Linked DNA regions of Macaca mulatta. The protein of the gene in region 1 binds, or shares a complex with, the protein of each later gene. Links are inferred from orthologs where the notes say so. Each region holds a gene or a part of one and is shown in the gene's direction. Other genes may lie near its edges.

The links. Proteins that work in one complex are often made in the same cells at the same time.
Region 2: TAF12 (region 1) and TAF5 share a complex: the UniProt entries of both Homo sapiens proteins name them as parts of the TFIID basal transcription factor complex. The link is inferred for Macaca mulatta from reciprocal best matches to the Homo sapiens genes TAF12 and TAF5.
Region 3: TAF12 (region 1) and TAF11 share a complex: the UniProt entries of both Homo sapiens proteins name them as parts of the TFIID basal transcription factor complex. The link is inferred for Macaca mulatta from reciprocal best matches to the Homo sapiens genes TAF12 and TAF11.

The regions. Positions count from the first base shown.
Region 1 is NC_133406.1:212,257,869-212,261,616, forward strand, and holds the start of TAF12 (transcription initiation factor TFIID subunit 12), read left to right. Parts: upstream 1-1,354; 5' UTR 1,355-3,169; intron 3,170-3,748. UniProt on the Homo sapiens protein: The TFIID basal transcription factor complex plays a major role in the initiation of RNA polymerase II (Pol II)-dependent transcription.
Region 2 is NC_133414.1:115,514,522-115,518,269, forward strand, and holds the start of TAF5 (transcription initiation factor TFIID subunit 5), read left to right. Parts: upstream 1-1,267; 5' UTR 1,268-1,303; coding exon 1,304-1,862; intron 1,863-3,748. UniProt on the Homo sapiens protein: The TFIID basal transcription factor complex plays a major role in the initiation of RNA polymerase II (Pol II)-dependent transcription.
Region 3 is NC_133409.1:147,388,286-147,392,033, forward strand, and holds the start of TAF11 (transcription initiation factor TFIID subunit 11), read left to right. Parts: upstream 1-1,161; 5' UTR 1,162-1,195; coding exon 1,196-1,366; intron 1,367-3,748. UniProt on the Homo sapiens protein: The TFIID basal transcription factor complex plays a major role in the initiation of RNA polymerase II (Pol II)-dependent transcription.

The DNA.
Region 1 (3,748 bases):
CAGTGGCCGGATCTCAGCTCACTGCAAGCTCCGCCTCCCGGGTTTATGCCATTCTCCTGCCTCAGCCTCCCGAGTAGCTGGGATTACAGGCGCCCACCACCTCGCCCGGCTAGTTTTTTTTAATGTATTTTTAGTAGAGACGGGGTTTCACCGTGTTCGCCAGGATGGTCTCAATCTCCTGACCTTGTGATCCGCCCGTCTCGGCCTCCCAAAGTGCTGGGATTACAGGCTTGAGCCACCGCGCCCGGCCCACAGCTCTTTATACATTTTTTGGTGTGTTTGTGGGTTCTTCTCCATTTTACTGTGAACCTTACAGATGCTGGAACTGGGTCTGACTTGCATACCTAACATTCCAGCATACAGTAAAAAATAACAGTTCTCTCTTTTTTTTTTTGAGACAGAGTCTCGCTCTGTCACCCAGGCCGGAGTGCAGTGGCGCGATCTCGGCTCACTGCAACCTCCGCCCCTCCAGGTTTAAGCAGTTCTCTGCTTCAACCTCCGGAGTAGCGATTACAGACGCGTGCCACCACGCCCGGCTAATTGTTTTGTATTTTTAGTAGAGACGGGGTTTCACCATCTTGGCAAGGCTGGTCTTGAACTCCTGACCTCGTGATCCACCCGCCTCGGCCTCCCAAAGTGCTGGGATCACAGGCGTGAGCCACATAAAAGCAATTCTCACCAAGCATTTGACAGCAAAAAACTGTCCTGTAGAGAATGCTACAGGACAGGCTTTGGCTTAGTAGTGAGGTCTGAGTTCAAGCTGAGGCTCTGCACTTATTAGCTAGAATTTTGCTTAATCTCTCACAGGTCTCCTCTAACTGATTAAATGGCGTAACGGAGGTAAGCGGATTAGCACAATTCCTGGCAAACAGTCAGCAGTCAATTGTTATTACTGAATTGCCAGTTCACAGGCACAACCAACCGATCTGTCTCATCTCCCGGTTCCTGTGTTGCCAACTTCCTCGTTGAGGTTCAACAGGATACCTGTGGGGTAATGTGTCCCAGATGATATCCTGGTCCTGACACCATGACAAAGGCACCAACCAAAAATGGCGACCTCAAAGCCATCCGAGGGCGTCAATTACCCGTCATGCTACCGATGGATAAATAAGCAGAGTCGGGAAGAAAAGCTAGTGAAGGATTCTTAACGCCGGGGTGGAATACGCAGAGCTCGCTCATGCTGCCACTCAACTACAAGCAGTTAAAAGCGCAAGCTGCAGGCTACAGCTACACACAGCTCAAGATCGCCACCACGTGTCGGAGGGCAGTCTGCGCCTGCGCAAGCGAGGCGCGCGCCCGCCGGCCGGAAGAGCCGCGCGTTTCCGGGTTGGAGGCGGGGAGCGGTGCCGGAAGTAGTCGGGGAGGGCCGCGCAGTCGGACCGGCTGCTGAGACGAACGCTTCTCTGGGGCAGTCTCCGCATATCATGGGGAGATAGACGCTGCTGCCTGTGAGTCTTGGGCCCTGGCAGTTGAGGAACAAGAGCGGGAGGAGGGAGTCAGGACCCAGATCTACAGTAGGTCAGTGTTCGAAGGACCAGGTTGTGGACGAGACGGGGCTGTGAGGATTCAGGCTCTTGGGAAGGGACTGACAGAGGATCAGGCTCGGAGAAGACGCGGCTGTGGGGACCTGGGCTCCAAGACGGGACTTAGGGAACGGGGACGGATCTGAGTTCTCCGGCATCTGAGGGAAAGTGGTCTGAGAGGAGCAGGATTATGAGGACCCGCACTCCTACGAGGAGAGGGTCGGAAAGGAACGGGGTGTGAAGACACGGGCTCCGGAGAGGTAAAAGTGGAGCGGTGAGGACTTGGGCTTCTAAGAGGCAGAAGCGGGACAGTGAAGACCCGGCCTCCTAAGGATTCAGAAACGGGGCAGCGAAGACTCAGGTTCCTGAGGGGCAGAAGCAGACAGAGAAAACTTGAGTTTGGAAGGGAACAGAAGCGGGCAGTGAAGACTGGGGCTTCTTTGGGGACGGGATCCGGGCTTTGAGACTCCGAGTACCTGAGTCTCAGAACAGGGCGGTGAGGACCCAAGCTCCTAAAAGCCTTGGATCTAAGGGACCATGGATGTGAGATCAGCCTAGAAAGTAAAGGGAAAGGGTTTGGAAAAGATTTAGTGATCCATTTTTTTTTCCACAGTATTCCCTGAACCCAGAGAGATAAAGGACGTATTCAGGGGAAGACAACTTCTCCTTCGCACTGCCTGCTTGGCTCTTGGCAGGCTTTTCTTGTGTTAGATACTCAATCTAGGAAGCCCACATGCAAACATCTTCATTTTCTGCTTCATTCTTGGGAATCAGATGTGAAGTTGAAAACAGTTGGAACTCAGTTATATACTTGATAAGTGCTTTAAATCCCATTCCACTCAACCCTGAATGAGCACAGATCTCTGCATCTCAAGTAAAAGAATGTCAGTGATGGAAGAGTCCCAAAAGATCATCTTTTAAAAACTCCTATTTTACATTTAAGGAGGCTAAGGTTCAAAGAGGTTTAGGATTACAGTGAGGCAATGGTTAGATCATAATTTTAATACAGTACCCTTCTGTGCGTAGCAAATGAGATGCTTGGTTAATGTTCCTTAAATGCTTCCAGAATCTTTGCTTTATCTTCAAACTCAGGAGGGAATTTTTTTTTTTTTTTTTTTTTTTTTTTTTTTTTTTTTGAGACAGGTTCTCTCTCTGTTGCCCAGGCTGAAGTGCAGTGGCTCAATCTTGGCACCATGCACGTCAACCTCCTAGGCTCAAGCAATCTTCCCACCTATATATACCTCCTGAGTAGCTGGAACTACAGGCATGTGCCTCCACACCCTGCTAATTTTTAAATTTTTTGTAGAAACAGGATCTCACTATGTTGCCCAGGCTGGTCTCAAACTCCTAGGCTCAAGTGATCCTCCCACCTTGGTCTCCCAGAGTGCTGGGATTGCAGGCATGAGTCACTTCCCCCCGCTTCCAGTTTTCTTTTTTTGAGACAGAGTCACCCAGGCTGGCGTGCAGTGGCACGATCTCAGCTCACTGCAATCTCTGCTTCCCCGGTTCAAACGATTCTCCTGCCTCAGCCTCTCAAGTAGCTGGAATTACAGGTGTGTGCTACAATGCCCAGCTAATTTTTGTATTTTTAGTAGAGACAGGGTTTTACCATGTTGGCCAGGCTGGTTTCGAACTCCTGACCTAAAGTGATCTGCCCACCTCAGCCTCCCGAAGTGCTGGGATTATAGACATGAGCCACCACGCCTGGCCCAGTTTTTATTTCCAGTAAAAACTGGAAATTTTTACAGTTTCTGATACTTTGAGTGTTATTACTGCATTGACATTGATACAGTAAATGTCACTTAATAGTAAGGAAACCTTTATTTTTATTTTTATATTTTTGAGACAGGGTCTTGTTTTGTTGCCCATATTGGAGTGCAGTGGCATCATCATAGCTCACTGCAACCTATATTCTTGAGCTCAAGCACTCCTCCTGCCTCAGCCTCCTGGGTAGCTGGGACTACAGGTATGAGCCACTACACCCAGCTAATTTTTAAGTTTTTTTGTAGAGACGGTGTTTGGCTGTGTTGCCTAGGCTGGTGTTGAATTCTTGTCCTCAAGTGATTCTCCCACCTTGATATCCCAGAATGTTGGGATTATAGGCATGAGCCACTGCACCTGGCTGGAACCTTTAAATAAAGCTCAGTGTTATTTATTTATTTATTTAATAAGCTGTTTGGAAAGCCATAAATAAGTGTGTCCTGCATTTTTAGTGCAAACATTTA
Region 2 (3,748 bases), on another chromosome or scaffold:
CCGGGGTTCAGGCGATTCTTCTGCCTCAGCCTCTGGAGTACCTGGGATTACAGGGGCGCACCACCACGCCCAGCTAATTTTTTGTATTTTTAGTAGAGGCGGGGTTTCGCCATGTTGGTTGGTGAGGCTGGTCTCTAATTCTTGACCTCGTGATCCGCCCTCCTCGGCCTCCCAAAGTGCTGGGGTTACAGGTGGGAGCCACCGCGCCTGTAAAACTTTTTATTGCATTTAAAAACTTTTTATTGCAATGTAATGTGTATGGGCCAGGTGCAGTGGCTCACGCCTGTAATCCCAGCACTCTGGGACGCCGAGGGGCGGATCACCTGAGATTAGGAGTTTGAGACCAGCCTGGCCAACATGACGAAACCCCGTCTCTACTGAAAATACAACAATTAGCCGGGCGTGGTGGCACATGCTTGTAATCCCAGCTACTCGGGAGGCTCAGGTAGGAGAATCGCTTGAACCCGGGAGGCGGAGGTTGCAGTGAGCTGAGATCGGGCCACTGTACTCCAGCCTGGGCGACAGAGCGAGACTCCGTCTCAAAAAATAAATAAGTAAATAAAAAAATGTAATGTAATGTAATGTATATGGTTAAAAGTTCATAAAGCATGCACCTTGATTAACTTTTACAAAAGTAAAAATTGCAAAAAAAAAAAAAAAAAAAAAAAAAGCACTATCCGGGTCAAAACGTAAAACATTACCAGTATCTTGGAAGCCTTCCTCTGGCAAATGGTATATACTTTTGAGTTAAATACGTGGATTCGAATGTTGACATTTGGACTTTCTTCTTGCGTGACTCTGGTAAGTTATTTAACCTTTCTTGGTTTCGGCAGAGCCATCTGTGGGGTGGGGATAATATTACCTCATAAGACTATTTAATTGTAGCCGGGCGTGGTGGCGCATGCCTGTAATCCTAGCTACTGGGGAGGCTGAGGCAGGAGAATCGCTTGAACAGCCTGGGCGACAAGAATGAAATTCCGTCTCAAAAAAAAAGAGAAAAAGATTATTGAATTGAAGGAGATCACATAATGTAAAACGTCTATCATAATGCCTAAATATAGCTGCTCTGCAATAAATGGCAATTATTATCAGAGAAATGTAATAGGTGTTCCCTATGCCCACTTCCTGCCTTTCTTTCGCCCGTTTTTGAAAGTTGCTCTCTTTCCTATTCCGTTTCTCCTTCCTTTTCGCCCCTCCTACTGCCGTAAATGGCCTACTAGAGTTGTCGTGAAATGCTCCTCCCCGCCCTCCATGTGGCGAAAATGCAATCACGCTTGACGGCGCAAGGTGGCTCAGCCGCAAGATGGCGGCGCTGGCGGAGGAGCAGACGGAGGTGGCGGTCAAGCTAGAGCCTGAGGGACCGCCAACGCTGCTACCTCCGCAGGCGGGGGACGGCGCAGGCGAGGGTAGCGGCGGCACTACCAACAACGGCCCTAACGGCGGCGGCGGGAACGTTGCGGCATCGTCGTCCACTGGCGGGGATGGCGGGACCCCCAAGCTCACGGTGGCTGTCTCCACCGCTGCCCCGGCGGGGGCGGCCCCGGTGCCTGCGGCTGCTCCGGAGGCCGGCGCTCCGCACGACCGACAGACTCTACTGGCCGTGCTGCAGTTCCTACGGCAGAGCAACCTCCGCGAGGCCGAAGAGGCGCTGCGCCGTGAGGCCCGGCTGCTGGAGGAGGCAGTGGCGGGCTCCGGAGCCCCGGGAGAGGTGGACAGCGTCGGCGCTGAGGTGGCCAGCGCGCTTCTCAGCCGGGTGACCGCCTCGGCCCCTGGCCCTGCGGCCCCCGACCCTCCGGGCACTGGCGCTTCGGGGGTCACGGCCGTCTCAGGTTCAGCCTCAGGTCCTGCGGCTCCGGGTAAAGGTAAGCCGTGGGGTTCCGGGGAGGCACGGCCGCCGCGAAGGGGAGCAAGCCGGTAAGGCAGGGGCTGGCAGGCCTGCACCTCTGCGGGCTTGTTTTGAATTTCCTGGGCCCGCCTCTAGGGCCACATGCCCGCCCCTTTCTCTAGTGCGCCGGCTGCGCAGTCAAACCCCCTTCCGAGCTGTCAGTTTCAGCGAGAGGCTGAGGAGAGCTGTTGAGCAGAGGGATGTATGGGAAGGTGAGCGCGGAGAGGCGGGGACCTTCACGCTTTTGGTCCCTTTCCTCTCATTTGGGCTTTTGAGCCTTGGGCAGGTCCGCCTGAGACTAACAGTGTTTGTACAGTTTCGTACTAGCGTACTTTAAGTTTTATAAGTACTTTATTTTCTCTTTATTTCTTTACTTCCTTTTAAAAGATGTGTTAATAAATACTTTATGGACTTTTTTTTTTTTTTTTTTTTTTTTTTTTTTTTGAGACGGAGCCTTGCTCTGTTGCCCAGGCTGGAGTGCAGTGGTGCGACCTCGGCTCACTGCAACCTCCGCCTCCTGGGTTCAGGCGATTCTCCTGCCTCAGCCTCGTAAGTAGCTGGGACTACAGGCTTCTACTACCACGGCCAGCTAATTTTTGTATTTTTAGTACAGCCAGGCTTTCACCATGTTGGTCTGGCTGGTCTCGAACTCCCGACCTCATATGATCCACCAGCCTCGGCCTCCCAAAGTGCTGGGATTACAGGCGTGAGCCACCGTGCCCAGCCACCATACAATATACCCTTGTAACAATCCTGCACGTCATGTACCCCCTGAATCTCAGCTAAAAGTTTTTTTTTTTTCTTTTCTTTTTTTTTTTTTCTGTGACGGAGTCTTGCTCTGTCGCTCAGGCTGGACTACAGTGGTGTAATCTCGGCTCACTGCAACCTCTGCCTCCTGGATTTAAGCGATTCTCCTGCCTCAGCCTCGCGAGTAGCTGGGACTACTGGCGCACGACACCACGCCCCGCTTAATTTTTTAAAAAGTATTTTTTGTAGAGACGGGGTTTCGCCATATTGGTCCGACTGGTCTTGAATTTCTGATCTCATGATCCACCCGCCTCGGCCTCTCAAAGTGCTGGGATTACAGGCATGAGCCACCGCACCCGACTGAAATTTTAAAGATATATATGGGCTGAGTACCACCAGTGTTAAGTCTTTGGAGGATGCAGGTTCCTGGGCATCACTTCAGACTTAGTGAATCAGATCCTCTAGAGGTGGAATCTGGGAATCTTCACTTTTGAATAAGAGCTTCTAAGGAGTGTTGACATAGGGCAGCTTGAGAACCATGTGTTTAGGCATGGGCATTGGACAGACCTTTTCGTCTTTGCTGCATTTACATGTGTGATGCTGATTGTCATTCTTTTCTTACCTTTTAATTTTTTTTTACCTTCCTATTGGCCGGGCGTGGTGGCTCATGCCTGTAATCTCAGCACTTTGGGAGGATGAAGCGGGTGGATCACCTGAGGTCAGGAGTTTGAGACCAGCCTGGCCAACATGGTGAAACCCCCTTTCTACTAAAAATACAAAAATTAGCCAGATGTGATGGCGCATGCCTGTAATCCCAGCTACTTGGGAGGCTGAGGCAGGAGAATTGCTTGAACCCGGGAGGCCGAGGTTGCAGTGAGCCAAGATTGCGCCACTGCACTTCAGCCTGGGTGATAGAGCAAGACTCTGTCTTAAAAAAAAAAAAATTTTTTTTTTACATTAATATTGTCAAGAGACAAGTCATTCTCATGTTGAATTTTCTCCCTTTATTACATGAGTGGTTATGAGGGTTTTTTTTTTTTTTTTTTTTTTTTTTGAGACGGAGTCTCGCTCTGTCGCCCAGGCTGGAGTGCAGTGGCCGGATCTCAGCTCACTGCA
Region 3 (3,748 bases), on another chromosome or scaffold:
AGACAGGCCTCACGGGTTATGGGGACAGCGCCTTGTGGGTCCCCATTATATAGGTGGAAAGGGACAAACAGGCCCACCTGTACGCGCCTCCCGAAGTGCGCTCCTTCCCTAAACGTTTTGGGAGCTCCTGGGACAGGAAATACGGCAATTCGTCCAGGCAGCGCAGAAACAAAGAGATAAATATGGTAACGCGCACCTACATTTCCAAGGACATTCTTTAAGCACGCATAAATTAAATATGTAATAGGTGCTGGGACCTAGTCATACCCAGGTGAATAAAACGCCCTCCCCCTCGTATCTCTATGAGGGAAGAGAAGAAAATTTTAAAATAGAAATATCCTCACCACTTCATCCTCCCAGTACATGAACTAGTTCGTTAAAGTGAAACGTTCGAAGGAGACACCTTCCTCTCTTTAGGCTTTCCTCTTAGTTTTGGTAAGATTAACCAAAATGATAGAAAAGTGTCAGACTTGTAGAAACAAACCTCAATCTTGAATACTTGCGAACTGAAAAAAAATCATTTAATTGGATAGAAACTATGTGTGTTTTGTTCCCTGGTACTAGCACTGTTTCTAAATCGAAGTACGCAGTCAATAGTTGTGGATGAATAAATGAATTGGATAAATTCTGCTCAAGCTAGATGACTTTTTGTTGTTAAGGTGCTTGCTGAATGGAGCGGAAATGCTAGCAATTCCACGTACACACAGACCCGCGGTTTCGGGCCAGTTGAAATACACAAGGTTGAGTCTTGCCTGAAAGTTTACCAATCCCGGGTAGCCTCATTCCACGACACCGCCATACAACGGAACTGAGTTTTCTCCCGATCCCCCAACTTTACTCTGAGGGGTTAACGAAGGGATTAACTGGTATTGAATTTTTAGACAGGCGAAAAGGAAAAAGTTATTTAGTAAACAAAACTGCGCTCCTTCACAAGTGCTGGTTTCCTAGCTAGGAGGATCCATAGTCTGAGCTCTTTACGTCCAATTTTCCCGCTTCCCACTGTCGCCAAACCAAAGTTAAAATGAGTCCTCTAGTCCTCTACGCGCGCCTCAAAATGACCCCTCAGGAGAGCGGTAGGGGTGATGTCATCGCTGCGCGACGACAGGAAGTAAGATACTGTCCTGTGCAGCTCGGGGTTCCGAGCTTCTGCCTCAGACATCGCCGCGATCTCCTCTCCCCTCCAATCCTATCCGTGATGGACGATGCCCGCGAGTCGCCCTCCGACAAAGGTGGAGAGACAGGGGAGTCGGATGAGACGGCCGCTGCGTCCGGGGACCCGGGGGCTACCGACACGGATGGAATCCCAGAGGAAACTGACGGAGACGCAGATGCGGACTTGAAAGAAGCTGCAGCGGAGGAAGGCGAGGTAGGAAGAGATGTATCGATGAGGCTGAAGGAATACCCAGAGATCGTGTTACTGGGTGCTTGCCGGGCTTCTGGTTAGTCCCTCCCAAGTTACGAGAACTCGAACTCACCAGAACTCCCTCCAGATCGTTAATCTTGAGGGGGAAGAGAGCGGACGACCAAACAGAACTCCAGTGCTGGTTCCGTTCCAGAGGCTCAAGCACTGCGTTAATATTTTTAGTCTTGTCAAGGGATTAAAGCTACTTCTAAGGGAGTTTTAATAGCCTATTGGCTTTAGTGGTGAGGAAACTGGGATCCAGTGTCACACTGAGACGCAGTGCAAGAGCTAAAACCCAGGATTCGTAGCACCCCTTTCACCGCAATATGGTTCGTCTTAGATGTTAAGACAACTTTGTTTCTTTATAGGAAGGAGGGTCGATCAAACCTGTCAAAGGGAGATAGACTTTTATAAAAGTGTCGCCCGGGCTGTAGTACAATGGCGCGATCTCTGGCTCACTGCAACCTCCGCCTCCCGGGTTCACGCGATTCTCTTGCTTCAGCCTCCCAAGTAGCTGGGATTACAGGCTCACACCACCATGCCCGGCTATTTTTTGTATTTTTATTAGAGACGGGGTTTTACCATGTTGGCCAGGCTGGTCTCGAACCCCTGACCTCGTGATCCGTCCGCCTCGGCCTCCCAAAGTGCTGGGATTACAGGCGTGAGCCACAGCACCCGGTGATCAGGGACCCATCAGTTGGGTCTGGTGTTTTTATGCTACAGAGAGTTCAGCAGTGTTGCCTAGCTGAACATTGGTCAGGACCAGAAACTCATCGTTCTCTGGATTACATTTCTGGAAGTAGAATCTTGGGGTCTTAGAGCTAGAAGGGATTTAAGAGATCGTGGGGTGAACAGTAGATTAGATGGAAATAGCCTTTCAGTGTATAAAGTTGCATAAAAATGTATAAAGTAAGAACTTTTAGAAAAAGAGAAAATTTGGCCGGGTGCAGTGGCTCACGCCTGTAATCTTTGGGAGGCGGAGGTGGGTGGATCGCCTGAGGTCAGGAGATCCCCAATATGGGGAAACCCTGTCTCTACTAAAAATACAAAAATTAGCTGGGCATGGTGGCAGGCGCCTGTAATCCCGGCTACTTAGGAGGCTGAGGCACAAGAATCGCTTGAACCTGGGAGGCAGAGGTTGCAGTGAGCCGAGATCGCACCACTGCACACCAGCTTGGGTGCCAGAGTGAAACTCCGTCTCGAAAAAAAGAAAAAGAGAACATTTGACAAAAGTATTTTAAGGCAGGTTTCTTTTTTTGTTTTTGTTTTTGTTTTTGAGACTGAGTACTCGCTCTGTCACCCAGGCTGGAATGTGCAGTGGCGCGATCTCGGCTCACTGCAAGCTCCTTTAAGGCAGTTTTTGTTGGTTTGTTGAGACAAGGTCTCACTCTGTCACCCAGCCTGGAGTGCAGTGGCACAGTCTCTGCCTCCTGGGCTCAAGCAACCCTCTTATCTCAGCGTCCGCAGTAACTGGGATTGCAAGCATACTGCACCACGCTCAGCTGAAGTTTTTGTATTGTTTTGTTTTGTTTTGTTTCGTTTTTGAGACGGAGTCTCGTTCTGTTGCCCAGGCTGGAGTGCAATGGCGCAATCTCGGCCTACTGCAACCTCCGCCTCCCAGGCTCAAGTGATTCTCCTGCCTCAGCCTCCCCAGTAACTGGGATTACAGGCACGTGCCACTGTGCCCAGCTAATTTTTGTATTTTTAGTAGAGCCAAGGTTTCACCAAGTTGCCCAGGCTGGTCTTGAACTCCTGACCTCATGATCCATCTGCCTCAGCCTCCCAAAGTTCTGGGATTATAGGCATGAGCCACCGCACCTGGCCAGCTAAAGGTTTTTTAAATATTGTTTTGGTAGAGACAAGGTCTCATTATATTGCCCAGTCTGGTCTCCAACTCACTGGGCTGAAGTAATCCTTCCGCCTCAGCCTCCCAAAGTGCTAAGATTACAGGTGGGAGCCACCATGCCTGGCCAAGAAGGAAACTTTAAAACAGGTGTCAAGGACAGCAAGGATTTGAATAATTAGCTTGGTACACTAGAGAGCTCACTACATATATAAATTTGCACCGAACAGAGGATAAAATTATGTTGTTTCTGAAACACTTTTAAAAATCAATCATGTACTAGACCATGAAGAAAAATATGAATTCTTAAAAGATATCATAACAGGCCACATCTTGTTAATGCAATGCATTAAACTTGAAATTAACTACAAAAAGCTTCTCCCCCACCAAAAAAGAACCCCCTGGAAATTTTAAACTACTTTTTAAATAGCCTTTAGACTAAAGAAATTAACAGAACACTTTATCAAATGATATGGGATTTGGCCAAAGCTTTATTTAAAGAA